2 linked regions of the Arabidopsis thaliana genome follow. The protein of the gene in region 1 interacts with the protein of each later gene in a biochemical or structural test. Each region holds a gene or a part of one and is shown in the gene's direction. Other genes may lie near its edges.

Evidence for each region.
Region 2: of the proteins of RBOH F (region 1) and CIPK26, one has a biochemical effect on the other in vitro, tested with the Arabidopsis thaliana proteins (one study listed by BioGRID).

Annotation. Positions count from the first base shown.
Region 1 is NC_003070.9:23,763,425-23,780,562, forward strand, and holds RBOH F (respiratory burst oxidase protein F), read left to right. Parts: upstream 1-6,349; 5' UTR 6,350-6,841; coding exon 6,842-7,505; intron 7,506-7,592; coding exon 7,593-7,752; intron 7,753-8,075; coding exon 8,076-8,124; intron 8,125-8,618; coding exon 8,619-8,732; intron 8,733-9,292; coding exon 9,293-9,715; intron 9,716-10,624; coding exon 10,625-11,011; intron 11,012-11,092; coding exon 11,093-11,188; intron 11,189-11,285; coding exon 11,286-11,401; intron 11,402-11,472; coding exon 11,473-11,640; intron 11,641-11,714; coding exon 11,715-11,874; intron 11,875-11,962; coding exon 11,963-12,142; intron 12,143-12,241; coding exon 12,242-12,370; intron 12,371-12,495; coding exon 12,496-12,574; intron 12,575-12,783; coding exon 12,784-12,893; 3' UTR 12,894-13,560; downstream 13,561-17,138. Other genes in the region: AT1G64050 (uncharacterized protein), read left to right, coding at 16-141, 612-952, 1,083-1,599, 1,676-1,708, 1,800-2,290; AT1G64065 (Late embryogenesis abundant (LEA) hydroxyproline-rich glycoprotein family), read left to right, coding at 15,204-15,848; RLM1 (Disease resistance protein (TIR-NBS-LRR class) family), read left to right, coding at 16,525-16,997.
Region 2 is NC_003076.8:7,206,101-7,222,521, forward strand, and holds CIPK26 (Ca2+regulated serine-threonine protein kinase family protein), read left to right. Parts: upstream 1-11,143; 5' UTR 11,144-11,406; intron 11,407-11,947; 5' UTR 11,948-11,980; coding exon 11,981-12,151; intron 12,152-12,237; coding exon 12,238-12,300; intron 12,301-12,418; coding exon 12,419-12,490; intron 12,491-12,685; coding exon 12,686-12,793; intron 12,794-12,876; coding exon 12,877-12,957; intron 12,958-13,159; coding exon 13,160-13,213; intron 13,214-13,299; coding exon 13,300-13,425; intron 13,426-13,514; coding exon 13,515-13,604; intron 13,605-14,416; coding exon 14,417-14,539; intron 14,540-14,645; coding exon 14,646-14,756; intron 14,757-14,862; coding exon 14,863-14,976; intron 14,977-15,253; coding exon 15,254-15,310; intron 15,311-15,412; coding exon 15,413-15,487; intron 15,488-15,568; coding exon 15,569-15,643; 3' UTR 15,644-15,921; downstream 15,922-16,421. Other genes in the region: AKINBETA1 (5'-AMP-activated protein kinase beta-2 subunit protein), read left to right, coding at 1,124-1,234, 1,323-1,498, 1,580-1,742, 1,825-2,139; AT5G21222 (protein kinase family protein), read left to right, coding at 3,322-3,492, 3,665-3,727, 3,862-3,933, 4,105-4,212, 4,321-4,401, 4,598-4,651, 4,729-4,854, 4,939-5,028 and 3 more; CAM6 (calmodulin 6), read right to left, coding at 8,640-9,013, 9,775-9,850; NdhU (Chaperone DnaJ-domain superfamily protein), read left to right, coding at 16,194-16,421. UniProt on the Arabidopsis thaliana protein: CIPK serine-threonine protein kinases interact with CBL proteins. Binding of a CBL protein to the regulatory NAF domain of CIPK protein lead to the activation of the kinase in a calcium-dependent manner.

The DNA of each region.
Region 1 (17,138 bases):
TTGAATGCTAAACAGATAAACCGTTTGTGGTGAAGCAACGGAGCAGTTATAACGGCAAGCGAGGTGATAAGAGGATTTCCAAAGTTCCGGTGAGAACTTTATCAACCATCAATTCAGCGACTGGCGAGAATGCATTTTTCGGTATGTGATTGCTTCTGAATTAGCCTTGTCCTGTGGTATCCAATAGTGTACTCTAATTCAACAGTTGACTCCTCAACCTGGTCGATTTACTTTGGCTAGTTATTATATTTTCTTTTATACTTTCAGTTCTATAGATTGCTTCGTCTGAACTTTGAAGTGATTTACAAGTGAAATCTGTTCTGAGGTAGCTTTAGAGGTCCCCTCGGTCACTTGTTATGATTTTTAGTTTATTTTGAATCCTCCCTGACATCACATTGAAAAGGTTTCATTGGCTGACATATTCTTTGCATCGCTAAGGTACCAAAGGGACAATGTAAGAGTTATAGCACCAGTGCATTTCACTACTATCTCATTAAAATGCGACCTTGTTGACATGACAAGGTCTCGTCAGTATATTCTCCTCACGTGAAATGGTCTGATCTTTTTCTAGTGTTGTGTTTACCTCTTAATTTTCCTTACCTTACATGCAGGTGCCTATGGCCTGAAGCCTGCAATAAATGATGTTACCAAACTCGTTGAAGATTTTTCATTGAAAAGTCTTCTTGAAGGCTCTTATGAGTGTCCTTCTTTGGGCAAAGACAAGATGAAGAAATCGGAGAATACTAACAACACTTTATTGAGTGTAGTCAAAAATGTTTGGTCCATTCTACCAACAAAGAGGCCTGTTCAATCACAAAGCTCTACTGAATTAGACACTTGTCTCAGCAGAACTCTGGGTTCACCGCCTAGCTCTATCTCTGCTACACTACCAAATAGTGAAAACATCGATAAAGTAAATGCCCTGGATGGAGATCTATCGTCATCGTCCAAGGTAGATTTCTTAATCTAACATTTAGAAGTTTCATATATATATATTCTGATTTGACCTGTAAGCAAGTATACATGACTTTAAATAGGTTTGTTGCTTTAACTGAAAATTGATACACTCATTGACTTCTCAGGATCATTGCATCAACTCTGAAATTCCTTCCACTCCACTTAGTTTTCCATTATGCGACGCTGGCGATGTATTGAAAAGATTAGGCCTTCCTCCGTCGAAAGATTTAGACTCTCTGCTCCAAGATGCATCAAAACCTTCTCATAACTCTAAGAACAATTTGGACCAGCAGCGTTCAGCTAAACCTCCTCATAGTGGATTGCCTCATTTCCCTTGGTCGCAGCCCTTTAATGGGAGCTCTAGAACCAACTCAGAAGCAGCAAAGCTTGTGACCTGCAAGACACTTTGTCAAGGACGATGGCTAAGAATAGCCGACACTTCTATGAGTTCTCCAGAGGGTATAACCGATAATTTCGCAAATCTGGAATCACTCACTTTCAACCAAAACTTAGTCCCTCCACTACTGAAACAGACTATTACTGGAGTTAAGACCTCTCAAACAAAATTCGCTAACACCATTTCATGCCAGTGCGCAGAAGCATCTGTTTCTACCCTTCAAAATTCTTTCTTTGTTCCCAAAGGTAAGGATCCGTTACCCTCTTTATACTACTCCTAACGAAAACTATATAACAGCAATTTATCTCTCATCAAATGCAGAACCAGAGGGATCCCCAGATGTTGAAGATGATGGTATGTTTTCACAAATACTATTACTGAATATCTCTTTGCCTCAAATTTTATTGAAAATCCTCTTCTGATGATGATGATATGTTGTGTACAGCTCTTTCATGTCCACAGCTTTTAGAAGCTGCACGAACGCTCTGTGACATTGCAGTCCAGTCCGCAAACCACGACAACCCAAACGGAATCCTCAGATGGCCAAAGAAGCTCTCTCAGAAATCCATGAAAGCCCGCAAATCCAAACTAATCGAAAAGCCTCTGGAAAGGCACAGGACAACGGTTTCATCCATAGATCTTAACTCAAGCAACAACAACAATAACAAGAACCACGTGAGAAAAGATTCAGCAGCAGAGCATAATCACCACCATCATCATCATCATCCTAAGCCTTCAAAGAGACTGAAACTATCAACAATGGAGAACAAGAAGAGATCATTCCCGAGCTCATCATCCCCAATAGAATCAGATAGAAAACATTCATCTTCAAGCAAGTTCAAGAATCACTCCCGTATGATGTTGCCGCCTCCACCACCAACGAGAACACTCCAAAAGTCATCCACATATCCTCAGAAAGCTCGGAAATTTCCATGAACCGGTTGAAAATAAGAGTGGTGGATCCATATAAACCAATCTTGATTACTCAAAAGAAACCGGTTTGGTTTTACAAGGGGACATAACGGCGTCGTAGGAGTCGTCTGTAAATACGAATGGTGTCACGGTGTAAGGTAAGTTCTTCTCTATGTGGACAGTGTTTAGGTGCAGAAGACTATATATATTGTATTGCCTTCAATGTTGTAACATTTTTTTTTTTCAGTTGTAGTTGTAGCCACACAGTTCTTTTTAAGGTCTGTTGTGTTTAAAGATTTTTAATTCTACGAGGTCAATGATAAAATTCTCAACTTGAGTGTCGTTTGTATATTTTGGGTGGGAAAGGTTCGAACTCTCGACCCCAATCCGCTTCTTCTCTGCTCTTTGGCTGCTGCTAAATGCCCTGACCGTCTGCTTCGAAGTTAATTGCTAGGCATAACAAACAAGAAAATTTTTGTGTTTGTTGAGGACGTAAAATGCACGTACCACACATGTGTAATGTACTAATGTGGTTGTATATGAAAATAATTATTATAACCTAAGATAATATATTAAATTTGGAAAGCCATCATGAAGTCGGTTCTAATTCAAACTTACTTAATCGTTTATGTATGTGGTGTCACACCGATCACGATCGGTTAGTTTGTGTTTCTCAAGTGTTCTATTATTATATACTTTTCAAAAGATTTGTTAAATTTATTGTTTGTTTAATTGGTTACTTTTGAGTTTTTCGCAAAGGAACAGCGGAGATTAATATATGAGTTCTATAGCCAACATAAATTTAATCAACCAAATTTTACCAACCTTTTTTCTTTTAAAATGTATTCTCCTATCAAATAGTACACGAGATAAACAATTCTAATCTATTTAAAGAAAAAAATGATATTTAAAACCTTATACCTAATGAAAACACTTTGAACACATGATAAATCATTAATAATAATTTTGTTCTAACTTAATTCCATTTATTGCTTTATTTATTTTTCTATATTTTGCTGTGAAATTAGGATAATTTTTGTTGATGTAAAGTTACTACAAAAAAATCTTGTTTGTATATCACTACTAGAGTTTGAGAATGTTAGTTAACAACCAAAGAAAAATGGTTGTCTTAAAGGGACAATTGTTGTATTTTCACTCTAATGAAGGAGTTAGGATGGTAAAGAGAACATGACAATTCAAAGTCAACTAAGTAACTACAATAAATAATTTCATAGATGACATAGTTTCTCTCCCATGTACAAGAAGTGGTTGTTTCATTGACTTGGAAGATATATGGTGGGCCCATTTCACGCACTATATTGGGCCTCAATCGCGTTATTTTTCTTCTAGAAGCCCAAAAGTTTTTGTGTACTATACATGCATGAACGTCAAAAATTATTACTATTAGTTCAACGAATTTATACTATGGTCTATGGACTTGGTGACAAAAGTAAACTATGAAATACTAGACAATTATTCGTAATTGTTTTTATCCGCTTGACTTTGAATATTTCCCATATATGATAAATTTTCATTAACTTGAGTGAATAACCAAAATCTAACTAATATATAATTATCGGCAAGATATCAGATTTTTATGTGTAGGAAAACCAAAGAAGAAGAAAACGAACAAACCAAAAGTTAAGACTTTTCTTTACTGTTCGGTACGGTATGCTTCAAGTTTTAATCATCCTACATATATTTAAGATGTGTGTAGTCGTCGAGTAGTAACACTTATCATATTTTCTAATGAATCTAAACTATGAAACTATTTTGACAAAGAATCCTAATAAAAATCGAACCTAATCAAGAAGAAAACGAATTTGCTATATCATAAAAAAATTACCACTAGGCCACTACTTTCTAAACTTAAAGTTAATCCATCATATTTCCAAATCGTTTGGTAATCAATGGATCGGATAAATGAACTGATTAGTGATTACGTACTATATAATTAACAGTCATGAAAAGCAAACCGCAAACGATACGTCAAATTTTAAAACTTGAAAAGTCAAGCAGTGGGTTAACTTTCTTTAGATTTATGAAACAATGTTCTATATTCTAAATAGTTTCTTACAGTAAAATTCAAATCTATATATACACAAATAGAAAAATGATTGGTTTTTGTAACTTGGGTTGGTAGAATATTCATATCACATTTGACATTTCTATTCTTCAAGAATAACTTATGGGAGAAGTTACTTTCGTTCGAAAACTATAAAAGTTGCAGAAGATAGTGAAGATAGTTGCAGAATTGTATTATATATGTTATACCCAGTTATGTGTGCATGTGTGTACATATATATATGTGTACACTAATACACACGTTTTTCTATGAAATACGAGTTTGTTCAAAAACATCTGACTTTTGTTCATTCATATAAAATGTTAAACGAACTTTTCCTACTTTTTAGTGAATATATTTCGTCAAATTGAAATTGATGCCAAAATTAGGTATAACGTGAAAAACGTATATGTTTTTTAAAAATGAGATTAGTTACGTTTGAAAATCAAATCTTTTCACATTTCACTTTCATACTTGGAGTTTTTGTTTTGTTTTATAACTTGTGTATTTACTACTACAACTGTTTGCACAACATAACATTGAATTGAAATCTTTATATATTAAAATGAAAACACTCAACCCCTTAAAATAGAAATGGTTCACATTCGAGTTTGGTTATTATTTTCTGATAACTGAATTAGATGCCGAACCAAAACCATACAAATTTCCGAGAGATGTAGAATGATGGGCATTTTAATCGTACCAAACAGAACCGAACCAAACCAAACAACCGAACCGTAGTGACGTAGTCTACATCTAACCCATTTGGTTAAACTTTTTTCAACCCTAATGGTTCGGTTTGAACCATTAACCCTAACTGTTTTTTAATTTATAATTAATTTCGTTAGGTAGATAATATTACATGCTTGATTTTGGTTATTTATCAAAACTAAGTTTACTTAGTTCTTTCAATCCTTAAATCTCTAATTCTAAGCTACAATTTTATAAGGTATGGAAAAAACTATTCATATCTCATTTCTATTCCGTTACTTTTCAAAAATTTCAAGTTTTTTTTGACTAAGAAAAGATTTTATAAAAAAAATATGGCTAATAACCACAACGTTTTTCTTGAGTATTATTATTAATAGACTAAACAAATACAAATAAAGTTTACCCCACTCGAATATAAATATTTTTGAGGAAATGTATCTACTATCTTCTTAAACAACGTCGTGTCATTACTCAAAAGTGTCCAACGGGCAATACAAGATTATGATGGACGACCCATGATTAAACATGTTCGATCTAATCTAAAATCTTTTTAGTCTATATTAGTGAAGCACTGAAAACAAAATGTTGTTATCAAATTTGATTTGTTCTTGTTAACAATAAATTCTTTTCAAAAGTGAGCAAAATATTTGTAGTCGTGGACTTAACAACAATACATCAATCGCTAATAAAACACTGGCTTCCACAAATGATGTATAAAAACTATATTCAAAGTCGTCGTCCTTGTTTTTTCTCTCATCAGTTCACAAACAAGCTCAACTTTGGATAAAACGCGTCGGACGTACGAAAAAAAGAAGACTTGCAGAGAAACAACAGTCACACACACAATCACCTCAGATTTAAAAATATTCCTTTGGTATTACTTGAACTAACGTCATCCGAGTTGTTTCTATATATATGTACATATATTCTTTACATGTTATTTATAGCTAATTGGAAGTTTTTAGTGCTTATTGCTAGCTACTAATTAATAACGAGTTTAATTCTAATGAAAATTGGACACAAAATCTGATACTAAGTTGCCTATATAAGATTAGAAATTTAAACTAATAACAGTTACATATATACAAAATCGTGTTGTACCTCATATAATTATGGTGCATTTGAATAAGATATCTATTGAAAAATATATAATGAAAAATTAAATTGGTACTCTAATCAAAAAAAAAAAAAATCTTTAACACATCAAATGTTCAATTTTTTTAAAAGTCCAAATCGTTTTGATATTGTTTTTTATTGAAGAGCAAACTACTATAAGAAAAATATTTGAAGAAACATAGCATTTTCCCATGCATAAACTAGAATGACCAACAAAGATACTCTCAAAGTCTCACTTGTCTAAAAAACAGATAAAAATCATTTCCAATTTTGAGAAAAGGAAAAAAAACAACTCCAATAATACTTTTTGATTTTCTTTTCGTTGCATTAAAATAAATGTGGCAAAAATCCAATAATATTACTATTATAAGTTAAAAAAACTCAAAAAAAAAAAAAAGTATATTCCGTCAACTTTTTCTCAGTCCGGTTCAATCATCTCCATCATCGTTGATCTCTCTCTCTCCGTCAACGTTCTCTCTATAAAGCAGAGAGTTTCACAGCGCGTGAAAAATGGCTTTTCCCACTTAGCCACAACGACGCGTTTCAATTCTCCATCTCTCCCTCTCTCTCTCTCTTTCTTCAAAGATTCCACCAACCTATACATATACTTATATATAATCTATGCTACGTGTATATACTTCCGATATCCTTCAACCAACTCTTTGAATTCCGACTTTGGATCTATGAAACCGTTCTCAAAGAACGATCGGCGACGGTGGTCATTTGATTCAGTTTCCGCCGGAAAAACCGCCGTCGGAAGTGCATCAACTTCACCGGGAACTGAATACTCCATTAACGGTGATCAAGAGTTCGTTGAAGTCACAATCGATCTTCAAGACGATGACACAATCGTTCTTCGTAGCGTCGAGCCAGCAACCGCCATTAATGTCATCGGAGATATCTCCGACGACAACACCGGAATAATGACTCCGGTTTCGATTTCGAGATCTCCGACGATGAAACGAACTTCATCTAATCGGTTCCGACAATTCTCACAAGAGCTTAAAGCCGAAGCTGTGGCGAAAGCGAAACAGTTATCTCAGGAGTTGAAACGATTCTCATGGTCTCGTTCTTTCTCAGGTAACTTAACCACTACTAGTACCGCCGCTAATCAAAGCGGCGGTGCTGGTGGTGGTTTGGTGAACTCGGCTTTAGAAGCGCGAGCGTTGCGAAAGCAACGTGCTCAGTTAGATCGGACTCGGTCTAGTGCTCAAAGAGCTCTTCGTGGTTTGAGATTCATTAGCAATAAGCAAAAGAACGTTGATGGTTGGAACGATGTTCAATCAAATTTCGAAAAATTCGAAAAAAATGGTTACATCTATCGCTCCGATTTCGCTCAATGCATAGGTTCGTAAAAACTCTAGAAGAAACTCTAGAGATTTCGAAATTTACTCAAATCTTGATTTGTGTTTTTTTTGTTGTTGTTGTTGACAGGAATGAAAGATTCGAAAGAATTTGCATTGGAACTGTTCGATGCATTGAGTAGAAGAAGAAGATTAAAAGTAGAGAAAATCAATCACGATGAGCTTTATGAGTATTGGTCACAAATCAACGACGAGAGTTTTGATTCTCGTCTCCAGATCTTCTTCGACATGTACGTAACAGAAAAAGTTACTTAAACTTAATAATTACTTTAATTTAATTACTCTCTTAATCATATTTTTACTGATAATCAATGATTATTTTAGAAAGGTTTCTAACAGTCATTTTACTATAAAGAGATCCCATATTTTCAGCGTTTTTCCAGATCAGTCTTCCTAATTAATTAAACAGTCTAGTAATTTAATTTGATGCATGTGTGCAGAAATTATTGTTCCTTACGATGCGTATGTTTTAATTTTTGTAACTATTGTTTTTAAATATAAACCTTTGACTTTCATTGAAGATAATTAATTACATAATTAATCATTTTTACAGAGTGGACAAGAATGAAGATGGGAGAATTACAGAAGAGGAAGTAAAAGAGGTAATTAAATGCTAGCTAACTAACACAATTAGTGTTATCAATTCTGTCACTATTTAATTAAACATAAATTAATGTCATATTTTTTCGTTAAGGTTTAAGAATAAAATATAAACTGGGACTGGTAGTCAAAATAGATTTTTTAAATTTATAATCAAAGTTAGGCGGGGATTTGGTGACCTTAAATCTCATGAAATGCTGATATACTAACCACTCCATTTAAATTTTAAAAATATCAAAGAACCAAAATACGAATTTTCTTGTCATTGATTTGAGTTTAAACCATGTTCGTTTAGATTCTTATCTGTAACTAAGTTTTCAATTATGCTGAAATATGTTATTGTTTAATTAGTTTTGACTAATAATCAACTTGTTTTAATATAATCTAATATTTGACGGTGACACAAGATACAATAGAGATGTTTTACTTAACATTTTTTGAAGAAAAAAATCCTTCTTATCGTTATGCTTTTTTGTATTTTCTTTGAATATGTTAGATAATAATGTTGAGTGCATCTGCAAATAAGCTATCAAGATTAAAGGAACAAGCAGAGGAATATGCAGCTTTGATTATGGAAGAGTTAGATCCTGAAAGACTTGGCTACATAGAGGTTGGTTTTAATACACACTGTACAAATCTTTGAATCTTTTTCCACCATCACATGCTTTGTTTCCGTGCTTGCATGATGTGAGTATTATATTATTGCAAAATATTTTCAATACTTTCGTTACCCAAACGGAATAAAGTATGTAAAACCGCCGCCCATAAATAGGAATTCAATAATTCTTTTATATAATGTATGACCTCACATGTTATAAGAAAAAAGGAGCCAATTTCTTTTACTATAGCATTAAATTATTTCATGTTTGCTTTTTTTCTACTCTTATCTCATTTTGCTGACACCTAGAATAGTTGTCCATTATAAAGTATAGATTCAGTAGCTCAAATATAGTATAAAAACTTTTTTTTTTTCTATTTCATCAACTCAATGGTAGGTGAAGTAGTTACAATAGACTATTTCAATTGCTAGCTAGAAGATAGAGTTTGAAAAGAAAAAAAAAACATGTGACTGCTACATCTTGAATGTTATATTTATCTATAGAAGTTAAATGATTCATCAAGGCAAATATTTCATACATTTTAATGCTCTTTTATTTTCTTCTTGTGTAGCTATGGCAACTAGAGACTTTGCTTCTACAAAAAGACACATACCTCAATTACAGTCAAGCATTGAGCTATACGAGCCAAGCATTGAGCCAAAACCTTCAAGGGTTAAGGGGAAAGAGTCGAATACATAGAATGAGTTCGGATTTCGTCTACATTATGCAAGAGAATTGGAAAAGGATATGGGTTTTATCCTTATGGATCATGATCATGATCGGATTATTCTTGTGGAAATTCTTCCAATACAAGCAAAAAGATGCATTTCATGTGATGGGATATTGTTTACTCACAGCCAAAGGAGCAGCTGAAACACTTAAATTCAACATGGCTCTAATACTTTTCCCAGTTTGCAGAAACACCATTACTTGGCTTAGATCCACAAGACTCTCTTACTTCGTTCCTTTTGATGATAATATCAACTTCCACAAGGTTAGTGAGCTATAAACCTTTTTGTTTGTTTGTTTTTTACTTTTGATTTCTACTTTTTAGGGTCCCATAAGAACTTTCTTTTCGTGCTTCTATAGAAGTCAAAACCAATACTAATTAGAGATACAAAATCCTCATCGAACGCAATGTGCTGTCAAAAAAGCTGAGATTGTTGTGGGGCTCATATTCTTTGTGCACGCACTGGAACATTGACATGACAGCTAAACAGCTATTTCGCTTTCTCTTTTTTTTTTTTTTTTTGGTTCTCTCTTTCTCATTTCTTACATTTTTTTGCCACTAAAGAAAAGTGAATAAGATTAAGGCATGTGGAATTTAGGTTTGGTTAGGAAAGTCTTATACGGAATTAGAGCTGAACTTTTAATTCAGTTTGAAATTTTTTGTCTCTATGTTGCAAAAAAAACAACTTCATATACAGCTGTTTTGAATAAAATTTTGAAAAGCTATACCGAATTAAAATCAATTTTTTTTGTTTAGTTCGAATAAAATTAGTCTGGTTTTCTTATATGGTTTGGTTCGGTTTTGCACCAAAGATAACTTCACATGCAAATTTTTATTTTCTAATTCAGTTAAGTACATTACATATAGTAAGATTGGTTTTGGTATATTTAAATAACAAATTAAATTTTTCATTAGTTGCAGTTTATTTGGTTTGCTTTGGTTGTATAAGCTTGGTTTCAGTAAATAAACTAAGATTAATTTTGGTTTGGTCTTGGTTTTGGTTTTAGAAATGCTCACCTTTAAAAGTGAAGGTTGTGTTGTAGTGGGGAAAAAATTCTTATTTGATCATTTTAAACTTTCATAAAGTAAGAAACCAATGCTCTACTCACTAAACTATTTTGATAGAAAATTTTAACTCACTGCTCTTTTTTTTGGTTTTTTTGTTATGTGCAGACAATTGCTGGAGCCATTGTAGTAGCTGTGATCCTTCATATTGGAGACCATCTTGCTTGTGATTTCCCTAGAATTGTTAGAGCCACCGAATACGATTACAATCGGTATCTGTTTCATTACTTTCAAACAAAACAGCCAACATACTTCGACCTCGTTAAGGGACCTGAAGGAATCACTGGGATTTTAATGGTCATTTTGATGATTATTTCATTCACATTAGCAACAAGATGGTTTAGGCGTAACCTAGTCAAGCTTCCTAAGCCATTTGATCGACTAACCGGTTTTAACGCCTTTTGGTATTCGCATCATTTGTTCGTCATTGTTTATATCTTGCTTATTCTTCATGGTATCTTCCTCTATTTCGCCAAGCCTTGGTATGTTCGTACGGTAAGTCTCCATGATTCTAAGCTTAGTAATTGTTGACCATATATAATCTTGATTTTGATTTTGAGATGTTGTTTTTTGCAGACATGGATGTATCTTGCAGTACCAGTTTTACTCTATGGTGGAGAAAGAACACTTAGGTACTTCCGTTCTGGTTCTTATTCGGTTCGACTGCTTAAGGTAAGTGAAAAACAAAAACTAAAACAGAGGACTCTGTTTTCTTTACTTTCTCATTGTCTTGTAGAATAAGCTAACTTCTTTTGATTTTTCCTTGTAGGTTGCTATATATCCTGGTAATGTTCTAACGCTACAAATGTCGAAACCAACTCAATTTCGTTACAAAAGCGGACAATACATGTTTGTCCAATGTCCTGCGGTTTCGCCATTCGAGTGGTAAGAATTATTCATAACAGTTTTTGATACCAACCAAATCATCTGTCTTACTGATTTGTATTTCGTTTTAGGCATCCATTCTCAATTACTTCCGCACCTGAAGATGATTATATCAGCATTCACATTAGACAACTTGGTGATTGGACTCAAGAACTCAAAAGAGTATTCTCTGAAGTTTGTGAGCCACCGGTTGGCGGTAAAAGCGGACTTCTCAGAGCCGACGAAACAACAAAGAAAAGGTATAACACGAAAACAAAACCAAACACTTATAAATTAACCAAATGCTGATATGTTTAGTTAAATGTTGTTTCAGTTTGCCAAAGCTATTGATAGATGGACCGTACGGTGCACCAGCACAAGATTATAGGAAATATGATGTTCTCTTATTAGTTGGTCTTGGCATTGGTGCAACTCCATTTATCAGTATCTTGAAAGATTTGCTTAACAACATTGTTAAAATGGAAGAGCATGCGGTAATAAACCAAGTCTTATCTTATTCTCTCTTGTGCAGACAAATAAATAAAGATGTCAAGTTTGATAAAAATGTTTTTACGTCTTCAGGATTCGATCTCGGATTTCAGTAGATCATCAGAATACAGCACAGGAAGCAACGGTGACACGCCAAGACGAAAGAGAATACTAAAAACCACAAATGCTTATTTCTACTGGGTCACAAGAGAACAAGGCTCTTTTGATTGGTTCAAAGGTGTCATGAACGAAGTTGCAGAACTTGACCAACGGGTAATAAACAAACTCAAAACATTTCTTGACAGACACAATCAAAATTTTCCCGAGAAGATTCAATGTGAGAAAATCAAAAAAAAAAATTGTGTGGAACAGGGTGTGATAGAGATGCATAACTATTTAACAAGTGTGTATGAAGAAGGTGATGCTCGTTCTGCTCTCATTACAATGGTTCAAGCTCTTAATCATGCCAAAAATGGTGTCGACATTGTCTCTGGCACTAGGGTACGTTACTTTCTTCTTAAGTCGTGATTCTTTTGATTTCCTAACACGGTCCCCAAATTATAAATTGTGGAAAAATGAACCCACACATAAAGATATGATTCTTAAAAAAAATCTTCATTTTTCAGGTCAGAACACACTTTGCAAGACCTAATTGGAAGAAGGTTCTCACAAAGCTAAGTTCCAAGCATTGCAATGCAAGAATAGGTAACAATCACTAAGCTCCATACATTTCTAATCTTCACAAAAAGTAAAATTTTCTTTCAAGATTCAGTCAATTTAGTCCCCACAATTCATTTTCAGTATCCGTGGGCAATACGTTTCATTTTCATGCTTTTGTAGAAGCTTTCATTTTCTATCACAATCAAGATTCGGGTTTCGATCAAAATGATTCTTAAATCTTTGATCTTTCGCAGGAGTGTTTTATTGCGGAGTACCGGTTTTAGGGAAGGAGCTTAGCAAACTATGCAACACATTCAATCAAAAAGGTTCAACCAAGTTTGAATTTCACAAGGAGCATTTCTAAAAGACAAGAAGGAAGAAGCCAAAAGCCCTCTAGATTCTTTAATATCTCAAATTTAGCCACTTATAGTATAAAGGCAATCTCTTCACTATTTAATTCAAAGTGATTAAACGTTAACACACTGTCAAAAGTGAGTGTGTTAACGTTTAGCTCCACACGTTCTAGGTTTATATACACCGAGGCATACGTGTAAATATACGAGACAGAAGAAATTCAAGGGGGTTTGATAGAAGCATATAGTAAAATTTTAAAATTTCTTGTATAGTAAGCAAATGAGATGGAGACTCTAGAAGAGAGGTGAGGTTTGGTGAGGGATAGCGACAGTAATACGACGTCGTATTCGATTGTAGAGGAAGTGCAATACAGCTGCAGGGAAGATAAATGATGGAAGCAAATAATGCGTTGATAAGGTCCATGTGATTAGGAAGATGACACTCTTTTTGGGGGATATTTTTTTCTATTTTTTTTTTTTAGTGGAGTCGGTGAAAGAGAGACTAGAGTTTTTAGAATATTGGAAGAATATTTGGGAATAAGGGAGTTATAATATTTTTGTATCATTGTATTATATAACTAATGTAAGGTGTACAAAGCATAAAATTTGATAGTTCCTTTCTTCTATATGTTTCCTCTCTTTTAAATCTTAAGAATGTGTGAGTGTGATCATCTCTGCAAGAATGTTTGTACTTCGTTTGTCTCCTTTGGAAAACAAAAATCATATAGAAAATGAATGAGTATATGTACATACATGAGAAATAATGTACCCACCTCTTTATTTTTCTCTGTAATACCTTTCATATTTTTCTTAACAAACATGTACCATTTCTCTTTCATTGTTGGAACATTTGTTGATGGACCTAATTGTCATTGCTTCTGAGCCACTAAGCCCAAAAATTAAAATTATTAAAAGGCCCAGTGGAGTTTGTGATCACAAACCTAAAGAAGTTTAGTGTATGAACCATTTAATCAAAGGAGGTCCAATCCAATAGTGGTGGTATCTATGTGAGAAACTGCTATTGTTACAGATAAAGGACTCAGCAGGAGTTGGACCTTTGTTGCAATAACTGTAAGCCTTTTTTAAACCAATAACTAAGACTTAAGAGTTAAGACCAAACCTTGTAAGATTTTTTACTTTCAAGAACATCGATTTAAGATTTTGGTGAATGTAGTCCTAAAATTTTGAGCTGAAGTCTGACCTAAATTGCAAGATTTCACAGTTGCCATATCAATGTTGACGTCGTCTAAAAGAATACGTCAAGGTAAAATATTTTCTTGAGTTAATTTTGAGTTCAACCATTTGAACAAATTACCATAAGATTACTATTTCAACTGTTTGATTTCAGAGTTGCCTCAAGAGTTGTTTTCTCATACGTATGACTGACTTTGTAAGGCTGGTTTTCATACAAAAAAAAAAAAAAGAGACTTTGTAAGGTTGCTTGCGTATCTTTATCTTTGATCATGTCTATGGTTTCTTAAACCCCGCTTACTCATATCACCAAAAATACTGAAATTAATTTTATTTTGGGATCATTGTGCTTTATGATCTTCTTTTTTTCTCAAACTTTTGTTGAAGTATCGAACATGATCACATTTTATTTTTGTTTCTTAACGAGAAAGTTTTAGAAGAGACCTAGTAAGTAGTAAGCATCACCACAGTACCTATATATCTTGATTTGTTCTTAAAACTAGGTCCCCTGAGAACCTTTCTCCATTCCATTTCGCCCGATCGTAGACAAATGCGAATAGTATTTATTATGAGCACATTGGTCCACTAATCATCGTCAAATTTCTCCGTACGGATTCTAATTTTTGAACTTTAAATCAAAGACATTAAAAGAGAAATAAAAGTCAAGTGATAGGTTTCAAAACAAAAGAACTAATACTATTTAGGTATTGTAAGTTTCCCAAAATTGATGAAAGAAGAAAACTGAAACCCTTCAAAGGTTTCTAAAAACAATTGATGTTAGTTGAAACATTTAAATCTTTGACGTCGTCTTCATCTAAAGACTCTTCTCCTTTCTTTTTTTTCACTGGACTCTTCTGCTATAACTCGCTTTTATAAACGAATAAAAATAAAATCAAAATTAACACACAAAAAAGAATAAAATAATTAAAAGACAAAAATCAAGCCCTCCGGAAAAGACTTATTAAGGATAAAAAACACCGCGTAAGACTCTAACTTAACACGATCGTGCCACGTGTCCTCCAGAAATCCCTCTTTTAACCGCCAAAAAAGAAACCACCCACTCTTCCATTAACATTAACTTTCCTCATCTTCTTCTTCTTCTTCCTCTGATCTAAACAACAAAACAAAAAATGGTGGACGAAGATCGGATAACACTAGCTCCTACCGAGATCTATGGCAGGAGTGATGAAGAACAGAGCGGACCAAGAATCTGGCGTCGGAAAACAGAGGAACCACCAGGGAAATGTCTAGTCTATTCCTTAACAATAATCGTCATCATCTTCGCACTTTGTCTCATCCTATCTTCAATCTTTCTCCGTATCTCAAAACCAGAGATCGAAACAAGATCAATATCGACTCGAGATCTACGATCGGGAGGTAATTCAACAAACCCTTACTTCAACGCCACGCTAGTAAGTGATATCTCGATCAGAAACTCGAATTTTGGCGCGTTTGAATTTGAGGATAGTACGTTACGTGTTGTTTACGCTGATCATGGTGTTGTGGGAGAGACCAAGATTGAAGGGAGAAGAGTGGAAGCTCATAAGACGGTTAGGATAACCGGTGTTGTAGTTGAGATCGGTTCGTTTCGGTTATTGGATACTAAGGATTTGGATAAGGATTTGAGATTAGGGTTTTTGGAGTTGAGAAGTGTTGCTGAGGTTAGAGGAAGGATTAAGGTTTTGGGAAGAAAAAGATGGAAAGTTAGTGTGATGAGTTGTACCATGAGACTAAATTTAACCGGTCGGTTTATTCAAAATTTGTTATGTGAATAGTAGTGATTGATTGATCGGTTTCATGATCCGGTTTAAGAAGATTTATTTGTTTGTTGTTTTTTTTTTGGGTGTTGTGTTTTTGCGGTATTGTAATTGCTATGGTCTTTGTATATGAACGGAACATCAATATTGTAGAAAAGAAAATTAGTCACTACAAAATTGATTTGTAAAATAAATAAATAAATTGATTAGTATGAATTTGTAGGATCATCATTTGAGAAAAACGAATGAGAAAACTAAGAATTTTCTCAATAATTTAATATATTAAATGGTGAAATAAAGTTGGAAACTTCTCAAGCCCCACATGTTGACCCATTCATGCATGTACACATCAAATCGACATACGTATACATCCACTATATTAATAGTTTTTTTTCAAATTTTTTTTTTTTTGGTATCAAAATATTACTCTTTTGAGTTTCGACATCTACTGAGACATTACGACAATTTACCCTAACAAAAAGAAGAAGAACTAAATAGTGTTTTATGAGGTATACCGGTTCTCTTGTTTATAATTTTTGAGGGACCGTAAAAGTGGAGAAAATTTCATACTCACCTTCTCAAAAGTAAACGGTGAATAGTGAATATGCTTTTTACATTTTCTCCAACATATATGGCTCCTCCAGAGACATTTTTGTTTATCTAATCGTCAAAGTTTTATCGTTACCCTAATCTCATGGCTTCTTCCTCTTCTTCTGCGAGTCGTACTTGGAGATATCGTGTCTTCACGAGCTTCCACGGATCAGACGTCCGTACAAGCTTTCTAAGTCATTTTCGCAAACAGTTTAACAACAATGGGATTACAATGTTCGATGATCAAAGAATCTTGAGAGGCGAAACCATCAGCCCTGCGCTCACTCAAGCGATTAGAGAATCGAGGATCTCTATTGTATTGCTCTCGAAGAACTATGCTTCTTCCGGGTGGTGTTTGGATGAGTTGTTGGAGATTTTGAAGTGCAAGGATGATATGGGTCAAATAGTGATGACTGTCTTCTATGGAGTAGATCCATCTGATGTGCGGAAACAAACTGGAGAGTTCGGGATCGCTTTCAATGAAACATGTGCTTGTAGAACAGAGGAGGAGAGGCAAAAATGGAGCCAAGCTTTGAACTATGTGGGCAACATAGCTGGCGAACACTTGCTAAACTGGTATGTCTTTGATGAAATTGAATTATTTCCTTATGTTCCAAGTGGTAACCACAATAGAGGAAACAAGCACAAAAAATGGTTAATAGGAACTACGTTGAGTAGAATAGATTTTCATTGATTGAAGGGAATGTTTGTTGAATG
Region 2 (16,421 bases), on another chromosome or scaffold:
TTCATTTAGATAGGATCCAAGTACAAAATCTCCAGCCTTTTTTTTATGAGTGAACTCTACTTGTTCACTTGATTTGTGTTATCCTGTTGGTTCTTGAGAATTTGTAATGTAGATTCTTGTTCTTAAAGCTTTTTTCTGAGTTGGGTTTAGAGATTCTGTACTAGAGAATCTCTTTTATTTTTGTGTTATCTTGGTTCAGGTATCTTGAAATAATGCATAATGTGGAAAAGTTTCTACCTTTCTTTAAGATGTTGTTTTGGTTTCCTAGCTATTTTTTCTTTATTTTCCAGCCGGTCTCTAGTCATTTACTGGTCGCTCATGATTCTTGATGTCCCTTAGTGAGTCTTTGTGTAATTTATCTTTGTTTCATTGTGAAGAGGGCAACTTTGCAGACTAAGTACGTTTGTGAATGAAATCTTTTGTATAAAGGAATTAGACTTGACTTGGTTTTGTTTGGTTCTTGAGAAGTCAAAAACTCTGGTAAATGACAAGGTAGCTAGTTACTCTTCCTTAGTTTTGGTGGAGAGAGAGAGAGAGGCTTAGATCACCTTATTGCTATGTCTTTTCCTTTTGGTGAGTTAAAATCTTGTTAATCATACTAGAGAATCTGCTTTAGAGAAGGTCTTATTTGTCTTCTGATTATGCCTCCATGCCTGGTGTGGAAAAGCGTATGGCAGTCAAATAGGATGATTATTGTCTCTCTAGGTTTTTATGCTGATTTTGACTTTCCTGCTGCTCTCTGGTCATTTACCAGTTACTGATACTGTTCTGTTGATTTGCATGTCGCATTGTGAGTCTTTTGTGTAATGTCTTTTGCTTTCATTTTTAAGAGGAGGGAGGGCAAGCTTGTTCTTTTCTTCGCCCTTTTTGAATTTAAACACGCAGAGCTTTTACTTGAACGAATTACAGATTTTGGATGTTTCGTCATTCTTCTCATTGTTCTTAATATGTGAATAATTCATAAGATAAGTGAAGGACAACCTTCTAAAATTGACCTTGTTATCAGGTTTTTGTGGGAATAGTGAAATATCTTTTGCTAATAAGGTCTTGTCTGTACTCTGTATGCGAGTAAATTTCTGAGTCTACTGTTGCTATATTCATTTTCGACTCCTTTTCTTTTCAGCCCACATTGTTATTCCACGTTACATCTTACAACATTTGCTCACCTATGCGTCACCTCTTCCATTGTTTAGGCTTAACATGTGTACCTAATGGCTGCATTTCGTGTCGGATGGTAGATATAATGTTTTGACATTCGCAAATTCTTCTTGCACATTGGTTTGTAAGATCTCACGGCTCAGTGTTTATGTGGATATTCTCAGGTTCCCGTGGCTCCATTGCAGAGAGCAAACGCCCCTCCTCCTAATAACATCCAATGGAACCAATCACAGAGAGTTTTTGATAATCCCCCAGAGCAAGGAATCCCTACCATCATTACATGGAACCAAGGAGGTAATGATGTGGCGGTGGAAGGATCATGGGACAATTGGAGATCAAGGTATAATTGACTTTGTTTCTCGTGGACCCTCTCTCGAGATTTCGTGATATATGTTAAAAACAATATGTTTACATTCACCAGGAAGAAGCTGCAGAAATCAGGGAAAGACCACTCGATTCTCTTTGTCCTTCCATCTGGCATATACCACTACAAGGTGATTGTGGACGGTGAATCCAAATACATCCCAGATTTACCCTTTGTAGCAGACGAAGTTGGCAATGTCTGTAACATTCTCGATGTTCATGTAAGTTACTTTCCCACCTCTTTTTTTCTCATGTTAAATCTATCAATCAGCTTAACAGTATCTGCAATCATTATGCATGCAGAACTTTGTGCCAGAAAACCCAGAAAGCATAGTGGAGTTTGAGGCGCCACCATCACCTGATCATAGCTACGGTCAAACCCTACCAGCCGCAGAAGATTACGCGAAAGAGCCACTGGCGGTGCCACCTCAGCTTCATCTAACACTTCTTGGCACTACTGAAGAGACAGCCATAGCCACAAAGCCTCAACATGTGGTGCTTAACCATGTGTTCATAGAGCAAGGATGGACTCCTCAATCCATAGTAGCTTTGGGTTTAACCCACAGGTTCGAGTCTAAGTACATAACTGTTGTCCTCTACAAACCGCTCACACGGTAACCCTAAAAATTCAGTGCCACATTGTTCTCTCTCTTTCTTTCTTTTTCATCTCTCAATTATGTGAAAACATGTTCTTTGTTCATAGTGACTAGTGAGTGCCCAACATTTGAGTTTATTAACCTCTTTCTTACCTGGTTTGTGGTGCTTGTGTACAAAGCTTCTCTCATTGTAACGATTGTTGTTTTATTTTCTGCAAAAACTGTAAAATACATTCGCTAATAATGGCTATAACAAGCTTATCTGCTAGCAACCAAACACATAAATCCTGTTTTTTTTCTTCTTCTGACAAAACGTTTGCGAAAGTGACAAATTTTTGAAAATAATCTTTCTTTTTGGTATTGGAAAAGGCTAACCAGTTTGAAAGTGTACTCATAATAAATCCACGTCGTCTATTTGATTGAAAATTTTAATTTGGATAAGAAAAAGATAAAAGAGAAATAAGGTGAGAAAAAGTGAGCCACACGATGGAGTATGGCGGAAGAAGCATCGACCGAGTAATTGAGACGCTCTGTTTCCAATTACTACTCTCTCGAGCTCCTCCGCTCTGCATTGTCGCCGAGAGTTCCTTTCTTGTCCGACAAACTACTTCTTCTCCTTCGATAAGCCAATTCTGCGCCATAGATTTTTGAAATCTACTGCCGGAAAGGCTGCATGCGATTTCAACTCCCTTTTCCCGGGACAATTCGCAGGTGTGTATTCCTGAAGCTCCGTTGTACTATACTACTATTCCATGTTTCACTTCGAACGAAGAATCAATCATTCGGTAAATTGGATAATTTGGTCACTTGTTCATGACCTGTACATAATCAAATGTGTAGGAGGACGATGATGAATTTGTAGCATGAACTATCGACGTCATGATTCTAGAAATTTATGTTGGAATTAAAGGGCCCAATGAGAAACATACCCAACAATTTATGCTGTTGCTGAAAAGCTTTGCCATCGCATTGTGGATTTCAGCTGTTTTTGCCTTGTCTTTATCACATTTGACGCCATAGTACTATTTGTGTGTATTCTCGTATTTTACAGTTTCTTTGTCCCTTTTGCATTAGTTTCTGTGAATTGAGAAAAGAAACACTCTGTTGCCTGCACTGTTGGGTTCTTTGGAGATAGAATTCTAACATTGACATTACATTTTCATGAAACAGCTTGTGAAGAAGATCAAGAGGTGAACTCTGAGTGATGAGTGAGCCAAAGGTCAGGCGTTGGGTTGGCAAATATGAGGTTGGAAGATTGATCGGTGAATGTAATTTTGGGAAACTGCGGAGTGCTGTTGACACAGAGACAGGAGACCCTGTGGCTTTGATGATCCTTGATAAAGACAAGGTTCTGAAGCATAAGATGGCTGAACAAGTAATTCGCTTTCCTAATCGGCATTTAGTTTTTTCATGCCTCCTTTCTTGTCCATTGATATGCCCATGTTACATTTCTTGAAGTAAAACGTGGTTTCTAAAAGCGAGATTCACAGATAGATCCGTCTTCTGTCCAGAAGTATGATGTGGGTCTTTCCCGTTTGCTTTTACAGATAAAGAGAGAAATTTCTATTATGAAGCTGATCAACCATCCAAATGTAGTGCAGCTTTATGAGGTCTAATTCCATGCCCCAATTTTTTTTCTACGTGTCTCTATTTTCCTTTGATTAACTAGAAATTAACAGCTCCCTGGAGTCTAAGCAAATATGTTGAAAACTAACATTTAATGAAATGATTGATATCATTCCAGGTTTTGGCGAGCAAGGCGAAGATATATATTGTCCTAGAGTTCATCAGTGGTGGAAAGCTTTTTGACAAGATTGTGAGTTTTCCCTTTACCTCCCAAGGGCTTTAACTTGTATCTAATGCATCCTTTGGTATTTGAATCATGAACCAAATGCCCCATGCTCAGCTAAGAAGTTCCTGTATCTTACAGATTAGATAATATATTATTTTGACTTTTATCCAATCCATTAAATTTAAACTTGTGAAGAAAAATGATGGGCGCATGAATGAAGACGAAGCACAGAGATATTTCCAGCAGCTTATCAATGCAGTTGATTACTGCCACAGCAGGGGAGTGTACCACAGAGACTTAAAGGTACAAGGAACATTTTTGGTAACTCTTAGGCCAAGTTTGCAGTGTAGGTTCTTTTAAGTGCAGCTAGTTAGTGCCTAAATTTTTTTCTTCTTTATTTTCTCAATGCAGCCAGAAAATTTGCTTCTTGATGCGCAAGAGAATTTGAAAGTCGCTGAATTTGGATTGATTGCCTTGTCCCAACAAGCCGGGGTAACTACGGAATTTTATTTTCTTAGCATCATTTGTTTGCCTGAGTTCCTACTGAGTTGTCCTTGTCTTATTCTAATGAATGTGCCTGAAGTTCAGTAATGATGATATCAGTGATTATATTCACAAAAATTTAACAAGGTCCGTAACACTGATCTTTCTAGATTCTCACCTTATCAGAATTACTTGGTTTTGGCAGGGAGATGGCCTTCGTCACACTGCATGTGGAAATCCAGATTATGCTGCTCCTGAGGTATTCTTAGTCATGTGGCTTGTTATGCGGTTGTCGAACCATGTCTTTAATAGCTTCCTTGTTGCCTTTGTCCCAAGGTTCTTAATGATCAAGGCTATGATGGGGCAAAGGCAGACTTGTGGTCCTGTGGAGTGATACTCTTTGTACTACTTGCTGGGTATTTGCCTTTCGAGGATTCTAGTCTCACGACGCTGTACAAAAAGGTAAGAAGTTTGTAATATATATCTCCAGGCTTCTTCTCACTATCATCTGTGATTCCTGTTTCTAAGTTGCATTTTTATTTTCAGATCTCATCTGCTGATTTTAGTTGTCCTCCTTGGCTCTCTTCTGGTGTTAAGAATTTGATCGTCCGAATCTTGGATCCAAACCCTATGACTGTAAGACATTTCGCTTTACTACTCAAGATTTAAATTTATCCTTCTTTTGTTTTCTTCTGTGGAGCCCCACAATCTCAATTTGCTTTTTTTTCTTTTTCTTTCTAAGATCATTAGGCGGGTTAGGGGTTACTAGGAATCTGGTGGAAATTTTATGCCTGAGCGCTAATGGAAAATTTGAAGAGATCATTCAACATAGACATAGTGGCATTCATATAGTGTTGGTCTAATCTCTAAAGTGTAAATTTAATCGTTCCAAGTAATGGACAGACCAGAAATCATAATTGGGAATCATAAACTCTGCAATTCTTGCTGACTCTTTCCTTTCCTTTCCATTCCTGAAATGAGCTACTCGTAGTAGATTATCACTTTTCAAAAATGTTAAAAAGTTGTATACCCCTCCTGTAATTGTTAGTCCCGTGGATAAGCGCATGTTAGAGTCATACAAAGTGGATGCTTTATCTGTATCTTGCATGTAGAATTTGAATATCACTCAGAACATCTGCGGATAAATAAACGCCAACGCCACTCGTCCTTGATTTCAAAAGTGGAACTAATTCACTGTGTTAACATGCCAGCGTATAACAATTCCAGAGATTTTGGAAGATGTGTGGTTCAAGAAAGATTACAAGCCAGCTGTATTTGAAGAGAAGAAAGAAGCAAATTTGGCTGATGTGGAAGCTGTTTTCAAAGATTCTGAAGTGAGTCATTTTATCTATTCTGAGATCTGTTTGATGATTGAGTTGAAGGATTTAGTAGCTGGAAATAATCACCTAGACTAACCGAACCTTTTAGGCATAGAGCATCTGATTCAATAATATCAAAGTCTTTGATCCTAATATGAAAACATGTTTGAGATAACGTACGCCTTTGCTTCACAGGAAGGGAGAGTGCAACTGAGGTCATTTCCTTGTGTGATATGTTCAGGTGGTACTACTTGTGGTGATGTTCGTTCAAGGACCAAACTGATGAACGGCTTGATAGAAAGAGGGAGGCCTCAAGAAGCTCATTCCATTTTCAACACACTTATTGAGGAAGGCCACAAGCCAAGCCTCATCACATACACCACGCTTGTAACTGCATTGACCCGTCAAAAGCACTTCCACTCTCTCCTCTCCCTCATCTCCAAAGTCGAGAAAAACGGCCTTAAACCTGACACCATTCTCTTCAACGCCATCATCAACGCCTCTTCCGAGTCTGGAAATCTCGATCAAGCAATGAAGATTTTCGAAAAAATGAAGGAAAGTGGATGTAAACCCACAGCAAGTACATTTAATACTCTCATCAAAGGATATGGCAAAATTGGTAAGCTGGAGGAATCATCAAGACTCCTGGATATGATGTTACGGGATGAGATGCTCCAACCAAATGACAGAACATGTAACATACTTGTCCAGGCTTGGTGTAACCAGAGGAAGATTGAAGAAGCATGGAACATTGTATATAAGATGCAATCTTATGGGGTAAAACCTGATGTAGTTACGTTTAACACATTGGCAAAAGCGTATGCGCGGATCGGGTCAACATGTACAGCTGAGGATATGATCATACCAAGGATGTTACACAATAAAGTTAAACCGAATGTACGTACCTGCGGTACCATTGTGAATGGCTACTGTGAAGAGGGCAAGATGGAAGAAGCTTTGAGGTTTTTCTATAGAATGAAGGAACTTGGAGTTCATCCTAATCTGTTTGTTTTTAACTCTCTAATCAAAGGCTTCCTTAACATCAACGACATGGATGGAGTTGGTGAGGTGCGCTTTATAGTTTATAAACTTTCAATAATTTTTCACTCACTTTCGTTTTTTTAATTTTAACTATGGGCAAGTTAATATAATAGGTGGTGGATCTGATGGAAGAATTTGGAGTAAAACCTGATGTGGTAACGTTTAGCACTCTAATGAATGCATGGAGTTCTGTAGGAGATATGAAAAGATGCGAAGAGATCTATACAGATATGTTGGAAGGAGGAATAGATCCTGATATTCATGCATTTAGTATCCTTGCCAAAGGGTATGCTCGAGCTGGGGAGCCCGAAAAAGCGGAGCAAATCTTGAATCAGATGAGAAAATTTGGTGTTCGCCCAAATGTAGTGATCTACACACAGATCATAAGCGGTTGGTGCAGTGCTGGTGAAATGAAGAAAGCGATGCAGGTATATAAGAAAATGTGTGGAATCGTTGGTTTATCGCCTAACTTGACTACTTACGAGACTCTTATATGGGGATTTGGGGAAGCGAAGCAGCCATGGAAAGCAGAAGAGCTTCTGAAAGACATGGAAGGGAAGAATGTTGTTCCCACAAGGAAAACTATGCAACTCATAGCTGATGGATGGAAATCTATTGGTGTCTCTAATAGTAATGATGCCAATACATTGGGCTCTTCCTTCTCAACTTCCTCTAAACTCAATATCCCAAATAATATCGCCTCGTCGAGAAGTCCATTGTTCTTAAAAGGAATGCCTGAAAAACCAAAGCTATGTATCAAGTCTCAGTTTGGTTTGAGGCAGACTCTTTTGGTGGTGTTGTGCAGAGACCAGATTGGGGAAGCCGGGAGATTTTGTAAGTTCATGTAGAATTTGTTTTGCTGTAGAGATGGAGCTAAATTAAAGGGTAAGAAAAGCTGATCAAAGATTGGTGTCGATCGATTTTTAAGATTTATTTTTCTGTACAGATATACTTTTTCAGTTAAATGAAAAATATGGTGTTTAACAAGCAAGACAATGAGATGGATAATGTTAGATTGTATTTTTTTGTTTCTTAATCGAAAAGTTGGTGCTAATTGTGTCCCAAAAACTTGATTATGTGATATTTGAGGCAATTTCTCTTTATAAAACTATATAATCTCTATAGAATAAATTATAATAATTTGACCCGCGGGTGAATACGATGATCTGATGACCTATAAGGTAGTCCGGTTCGCTATCTGGATCGGGTTAACATTGACCCTATATAAACCAAGCATCCACCAACAAACTTAGTTGACTAAAGAGTCTCTGGACCTAGAGGTCAAGAGTCCAATTTTCGTTTGGGAGATGGTCACATTACATCTTTTGGTCTCTCTAGCATCAGGGAGTGTACGAAATTAGGTTTACAACCTCTTTGATCATTTAAAAAACTTTTAGACAACAATAGATTTAGAGGCTACTTACATTTGTTTCTAAAGAATTTCCAATTTTGATGATCCTAATGGAAAAAAGGTTTGAAGGTTAGGGACTTACGGTTTACAAACTAAGAAACAAAATGGTTTGTAAATTTTATTGATACATATAACTACTATATTTTTCATGTAAAATAACAATAACGTTGGCGATGTTGCAAAATCGTTTTCGTTGGTCAATTCTCTTACTGGTATTTTAAACGCGGCCAAATTTTAGGGCATTGCTTTAAGATAAACAACAACTAACAAAAATTTACAGAATAAAATCAGATGCCCAAAAAAGAGAGCAAAATATGAGTTCATACTTCACATAACACTAAAAGGCTTAACCAAACAAACAAGGGAAATAAGCAAAATGATGTCCTAAAGAACGCAACCAGAATCAAGTCATAATGTAACTTCACTGTAGAAATCATAAATCTTGTTTCTTTTTGTGGGCTTAAGATAAAATTCTCTCACTTAGCCATCATGACTTTGACGAATTCTTCATAGTTAATCTGACCATCGCCATCAACATCCGCTTCTCGGATCATCTCATCAACTTCCTCATCGGATAGCTTCTCACCGAGATTTGTCATGACATGTCGAAGCTCTGCTGCAGATATGAAACCATTCTGGTCTTTATCAAAAACCCTAAAAGCTTCCTTGAGCTCTTCCTCTGAATCAGTGTCCTTCATTTTCCTTGCCATCAGGTTCAGGAACTCCGGGAAATCAATGGTCCCGTTCCCATCTGCATCAACTTCATTGATCATGTCTTGAAGCTCAGCTTCTGTTGGGTTTTGCCCCAGAGACCTCATCACGGTTCCGAGCTCCTTGGTGGTGATACAACCTGCAACCAGATTCAGGTATAATAAGCTTTTAGAGACAGACTTATATCCACAGTCAACAAACAAAAGCCATTGTATTTCTTATTTCGACTGATGAAGATCTGGTAAGTAAAAAAGAGAATGATTTTTTTTCATTCAACAAAGTCCTACTAAGTTAACAAAGAAACTCCATTCATACAAACTAAAAATAATCACTCTTCCAAGTCCTACCTAAAGTGTTAGGGTAAAAGAAATATTCTGTGTTTATTCCGTCTTTCCTTATGTGTGTGTACTAGCAAATCTAGAATCATGTGTATTAAAAAGACACAATATTCTTCTCCAAATCTCTTTACATGGTATCAAAGCCAGAATCAAAACCCTAGCCACTTCGTTCTATTGAACCCACATCTCACCGTGCAAAGGCCAATAATGCACAACAGAATTTTGCAAGTTTTTCACCAATCAAAGCAGAATACATTCCTGATATCTACAACATCAATCCTTTTTTCAACAATTAAACTACTCAAAATCTCAACATATGGATAAATTTCCCAAAACATTTCATTGCTGCATCACGAGACTGAACCAGAACAAGAACAAAACACAGCGTGAGTCATGAATCGCTATCGAATTAGCCAAAAGCTAGATCGTTCACAAGTGAAACAAACACGAATCATACAGAAAACTGAAGAAGATCATAAATCTGTCAAACAAATTCCAGAACTCGTATACGGACGGAGTAATCATCGGGGAAAAAACGCAAAGATCTGGGAAAGAAACATACCATCACCATCCTTATCGAAGAGGCTAAAGGCTTCCTTGAACTCTGAGATCTGGTCATCGGTGAGCTGATCCGCCATTTTCCTTCTTACCTTTTTTTAGAAATCCCAGATTTTTTTTTTGCTACTGAATATATTATTTGCCTCTCTAATAATAATTCAGCAAGAGAGCTTATAAAAGAGAGAGAGCCCAACAACTTATGGTTGGGCCTCTAAAGATTTACTAGCTAATTCAGTAATTCTTATGATTTTTTTGTCTTTTTAGTTTAGTTTTTTAAGACAATTATAAAGAAAACTATAACCTTTGCAGTTAATTTAGACATATATACTAGGTAATAAATCTATCAAATTAACAATTATTAATTTTTTTTGACTATTTTCAAAACTGATTTAGTAGAATATTTTACAGTATATCAATTAAACTTTTGACATTATTTTTTTCATTTAAATATTTAATTATAAAAAGTTTTTAAACTAGGATAGATATTTAAGGATATTAATTAATTTGGAAAATTAAAAAAAAACTTATAATATGTTGAAAAAAATAATATATGGATACATATGAAATGATTAGAGTATCCTCTAAATTTACGTTACAGAAACGGATATGTATAAGCAAAAATTTTACATGAATACACTTTTTTGTAGAAATAGTTAAACTTGAATCGATTTTACATGTTTTGTTTTAATTTAAATGGATACTTAATAAAAAAGTTAGTCAATATCTCTACATTTTTTCCAAGTAAACTGTTTTTAAATTTTTTTAGTTTTTATATTAAAAACAAAAAGAGTGTTCGATCATTTATATGAGTCTTATTATTCCACACCTCTAGAATATATATGTACTCGCTACAAATGAGTCTAATGAGCTTTTGCCGTTGATGATTTGTTCAATGTTCTAATAATTGTCATCAGTCTATAACCATTGACACTACACAAAACGGTTGCAATGTATGACTTTTGTTGAACTTTGTAGTGACTAGTAAGTAAGTGAGAGTGAAGAAGCAACGGTTTTTCTTTCTTACAAAAAACTCATATATACTTCAGAGTTAAGACTTAAAAATATATAATAGTGGATAAAATCAGTTACAACTATTTTTTTTTTTAAATGGTCTGTAACAAAAACATAAGAATTCATCGATTACTTAGAAACAACTCAAATGAGAAAGAAAAAAAAACACCTATTGATTAGGTCCATATCTAGTCAAAATCTGAATACTCAAATATTTTGTCATTACATTAATTAACCCAAAATAATTGACCAAAAAAGGCAAAAAACATAATTTTATTTCTTAAGAAAATTGAGGAGCTTAACAAAGGAAAGAAACGTATAATTGTCCCATACGAAAAAAAAAAATTAAAAAACAAGTGTCCATTAAAGTGAGAGAGTCCCTACACGAAATTAAATAAGTTTTTGTCTGTTAGCTACAAATTTCTCTACAATCATCGTATCTCTTTCGTCGCATCTCTATCTCTTGTTGCTCCTTGTATTAGCCCATCATTTTTTTATTTCTCCTGCGAATTCTCCGCCATAGATTTTCTTTTGAATTTCTCCTGCTAACTCTTGAGCTCCCCAAAGGCGGCTACATCGGTTTTGTCACCTCTACTCGCTCACTTTTCTCCGTCCAATTTTGCAGGTTTGTTGGTCGATTCTCCATGTTTTTGCTTCGAATTCGATGAGTAATTCGGTAACTTAGAGAGTTGCTTACGCTTTTGGTTTATGTGTAAAGTGTGCATAATCTCTATATTATATGATGGTGATGATGATTAGTTCTGTAGCTAACTCGAGAATCTCGCTTCAATTGTGTATCAGTACAAATATTGGTTTAGTGGAGAATTTTGGATTTGTAGATGCTTGCTTGAACAATATATGATTTATCTAAGTCATGATTCTAGAGATTTAGGCTGTTTTTGGAGTAATTAAAAAGGATGATCGGAATTTCCGGAGAAAATCTCCGCTGCTAGATTTGTCATTGCCTTGTGGATTTTCAGCTGTTTTTACGCTTTGTCTTTATTGAATTCTGTGGCATATTACTGTTCTTTTCTTGACGGTTTCTTTCACTTTTTTTGCATTTAGTTTCCGTGAATTGAGCAAAGAAACACTATCTTGCCTGTTGTTGTGTTGGATTCTTTTCATGGAATCATTCTTATATGCGAGATTACATTTTCCAAAAACAGCTTTTGAAGATCAAGAGGTGAACATTCGGAGTGATGAATCGGCCAAAGGTTCAGCGTCGTGTTGGAAAGTATGAGGTTGGAAAGACGCTTGGACAAGGCACTTTTGCGAAAGTTCGGTGTGCTGTTAATACTGAGACAGGAGAACGCGTGGCTCTCAAAATACTTGATAAGGAGAAGGTTCTTAAGCATAAGATGGCTGAACAGGTAACTCTCTTTCCTAATAAGATAATATACTAGATGCATCTTCAGTCCAAAAGTATGATGTGTGTCTTTCCTGATTGTTTTTACAGATAAGGAGAGAAATTTGTACTATGAAGCTGATAAACCATCCAAATGTAGTGCGGCTGTATGAGGTATATCTCCATTTTTCTATTTGTGTCTCTATTTTTCTTTGGCTTGCTTTAGAGCTCTTTGTATGTGAAGCCAATGTGCTGAAGCTAACTTTTAAGGAAATGATTGATACCGTTCCAGGTTTTGGCGAGCAAGACTAAGATATATATTGTTCTAGAGTTCGGCACTGGTGGAGAGCTTTTTGACAAAATTGTGAGTTTTCCTTAATCCCTCCCAATGGATTTATAATTGTTACTTGATCCATCTATTGTTGTTTGAACATGTATGCTAAGCTCTGGTCAATCTTGATAGATGTTCCTGTTTCTTGCAATTGAAACGTTCTCTTATCTCTGATGTAGATTTAACCTTTGTAGATTTAACCTTTGCATTATGTGTAAACTTGTGAAGGTACATGATGGGCGCTTGAAAGAAGAGAATGCACGGAAATATTTTCAGCAGCTTATTAATGCAGTTGATTACTGCCATAGCAGGGGAGTGTACCACCGGGACTTAAAGGTATGATATTTTTTGGTTTATGCCCAAGTTTGCAGTATGTTTCTTTAATGTGCAGATAATTGATACTTACAATTTCACTGCAGCCGGAAAACTTGCTTCTAGATGCTCAAGGAAATCTGAAAGTCTCTGATTTTGGATTGAGTGCGTTGTCCCGACAAGTCAGGGTAATCACTGAGTCTTATTTTTCTTTCTTAGCATCCTTTTGTTTACCTGAATTCTCACTGATTTGTCCTTGTCCTATTCTAATGAAGAAACCTGTAGTTCAACGACGATGTGTCTCATTGACTGTTTATACATATATTTAATAAGCTCTGAATACTGACCATTCTAGATTCTCAGCTTATCAAACTTATTTGGTCTTGGCAGGGTGATGGTCTTCTTCACACTGCATGCGGAACTCCAAACTATGCTGCTCCTGAGGTATGCTTAGGCATGTGTCTTGTATGTCATGCGGTTGTTGCACCATGTTATGTTACTAATAGCTTCGTTGTTGCTCTTGTCACAAGGTTCTTAATGATCAAGGTTATGACGGGGCAACCGCAGACTTGTGGTCCTGTGGAGTGATACTCTTTGTACTACTTGCTGGCTACTTGCCTTTCGAGGATTCTAATCTCATGACGCTGTATAAAAAGGTAAGAAGTTTTGTCATTTTTTCAAAGCTTCTTCTTTCACCATTATCGGTGATTACTGTTTCTATGTTAACACTTTCGTCATTTCTCAGATAATAGCTGGTGAATATCATTGTCCTCCTTGGCTCTCTCCTGGTGCTAAGAACTTGATTGTCCGAATCTTGGATCCAAACCCTATGACTGTAAGATATTTCAGTTTATTAATGCTTTCAAGATTTAAATCTATTCTTCTTTTGTTTTCTTCAGTCGAACCCCAACAATCTTGTCTTGTTTTTATTCTTAGACACTTAGGTAGGTTAGGGCTTACCAGGGTAACATATATGGGAAGATTTGATTGTCTAAGCCCTAACGGCCTAACCCACCAAAGTGGCATTCTATTGTTTGTCTTGTTCTATTTTTAGCATTAGGTTTAATATCAAATATACTTCTTCATATTTAGGCATCATTTACTATTTTGTAAATTGAGTCACAACGTGTAAGCAGAATTATTGACTTGTTTAAAGTAACTGTACGTTTCTGTGTCATATAAATTAATAATTTCCATTCTAGCTGACATTTTCTTTTAGGGATATCTACCTGCAATGAGCTTCTGCTGGTAGATTTTATCATAATCTTTCTAAATTGCTCAAAAGTTTATGATTCTCCTGTATTTTTTAGTTATATACATAGCGGATTATGATAGATATTCAGTTATGATTTGGTGAAGATTGTTTGATTAGTATCTTAATCATGATATATAACTAAGGGCTTATTTATGTGTTTTCTTATTCTGGGTTTTGGGGGGGTTTCCTATTTCTTAAGCTCTTGAATTCTTTGTGTAATCACTTTTATCTACTTTTTATATCAAAGTCTTTCTATATTTCCTCTTCGACTCTTTATTACTTTTTTTTGTGTCTTGCATGTTAAACTTAAACTCATTCAAAACATCTGCGACTAAAGCCGCTCGTCCTTGATTTCAACGGTGGAACTAATTGACTGTGTGTTAACGTGCCAGCGTATCACAATTCCAGAGGTTCTGGGAGATGCGTGGTTCAAGAAAAATTACAAGCCAGCTGTTTTCGAGGAGAAGGAAGAAGCCAACTTGGATGATGTGGACGCTGTTTTCAAAGATTCAGAAGTGAGTCTTATTTATTTTGTCTGCGATCTATAAGATAAATGAACTGTTTTTCCTTTTTTCAAGTTACTTGAATAAATGTACATAACAGTCTGTAATTTATTAACAGGAGCATCATGTCACAGAAAAGAAAGAGGAGCAACCAACTTCAATGAATGCCTTTGAGTTGATATCAATGTCGAGAGCTCTGGATCTCGGGAATTTGTTTGAAGAAGAAGAGGTATGTCTCTTAGACTTAACATACTTATTTGCTTGAATCCTTGAGCAAACACTTGTTTTTCCACATTATATTTTCAGTAATGAAGTCTATACCGTTTAACTTGCAGGGATTCAAGCGAGAAACGAGATTTGCTGCTAAAGGTGCTGCTAATGATTTAGTCCAAAAGATTGAAGAAGCTTCTAAGCCGCTTGGTTTCGATATTCAAAAGAAAAACTATAAGGTAATGCGATCGTGTGAAACCTTAACAGCTATTGGCATCGTCTTTTCCTTTTTCTTAGATGGCTTCCTGTTAGAGTTAAGAATCACAAACACATGATAAAAAGACTCACTCCCTTGGTATAAATCGATAAACTCGAACCTCACCAACAAGTTCACTTATAGACGGATTACCTATTAGGGTAGAAATGAAGGTCCTAATTAACATATTATCACCCTCATTGCTCACTTCGTTACGGTGTGGAAGTTTCCTTTTACTGAAGCGCTACTTATGTACACAGATGAGACTTGAAAACGTGACTGCTGGAAGGAAAGGAAACCTAAGAGTTGCAACTGAGGTACATTATGCACTCCTGACTCTTTTTCTGTTATGAAGTTAGTATCTGAATCCAAATTGTCATGGAACTAAAGAAGTGACCGTATCTTATAATGTTTTGTAGATATTTCAAGTATCACCGTCTCTTCATATGATCGAAGTCCGGAAAACGAAAGGGGATACACTAGAATTCCATAAGGTAATCATTTTTCAAGTTTTCGACTAATATGTTCACTTGAGGACCGATTCTTATATCTCTGTTCATCTACTTTCTTTACAGTTCTACAAGAAGCTCTCAACCTCACTTAACGATGTGGTTTGGAAATCTGGCGAGAGCTCTGGTCTAAGCAAATAAGAAAAAAGACTGATGATTCAAGTCCTTGCTTTGACTATCTTTTATTTAGCTTTTTGCTGATACTTTCTTTCAAGACTCAATTCTTTTAAATATTAGAGACAAAAAGCCATGAGATTGATGACTCTGTAGATATCGAAGCATGTGCAGTAAGTTTATGCTGTTCATATAATTGCAAACTTCGATTGTGTTGTGTCACAAACATTTTGTCTAACTGGGTTTACTTACTACTATTAATGCTCAAAGATGCTGTAAGAACGTTGAAGTAAGCTGAAAACGACATCGTTTCTAAATCTAACACCAAAAGATAAAAAATCGCCGTTGCCGGGGATCGAACCCGGGTCACCCGCGTGACAGGCGGGAATACTTACCACTATACTACAACGACCTTGTTGATAAAGAATCATAACTAATACTATATAGCTGTGTCTTATTATAGTGGACCTGCATTATTTATTTATCCGCTTAGATTTCTATGGTTGATACAATTTTGGTATCCGTTATCAATTAAAATTCGAAATATTTGTGTGTTTGGTGTGTAAACCTTGGAGCTATGGCTTCCTTATCGACGATAACTCAACCATCTTTAGTCCACATTCCCGGTGAATCAGTCCTCCATCACGTACCAAGCACGTGCTCTTTCCCATGGAAGCCAACTATCAACACGAAGCGGATTATCTGTTCGCCGGCTAGGAACTCCAGCGAAGTATCGGCGGAGGCAGAAACCGAAGGTGGATCTAGCACCGCCGTTGATGAAGCACCGAAAGAGTCTCCATCTTTA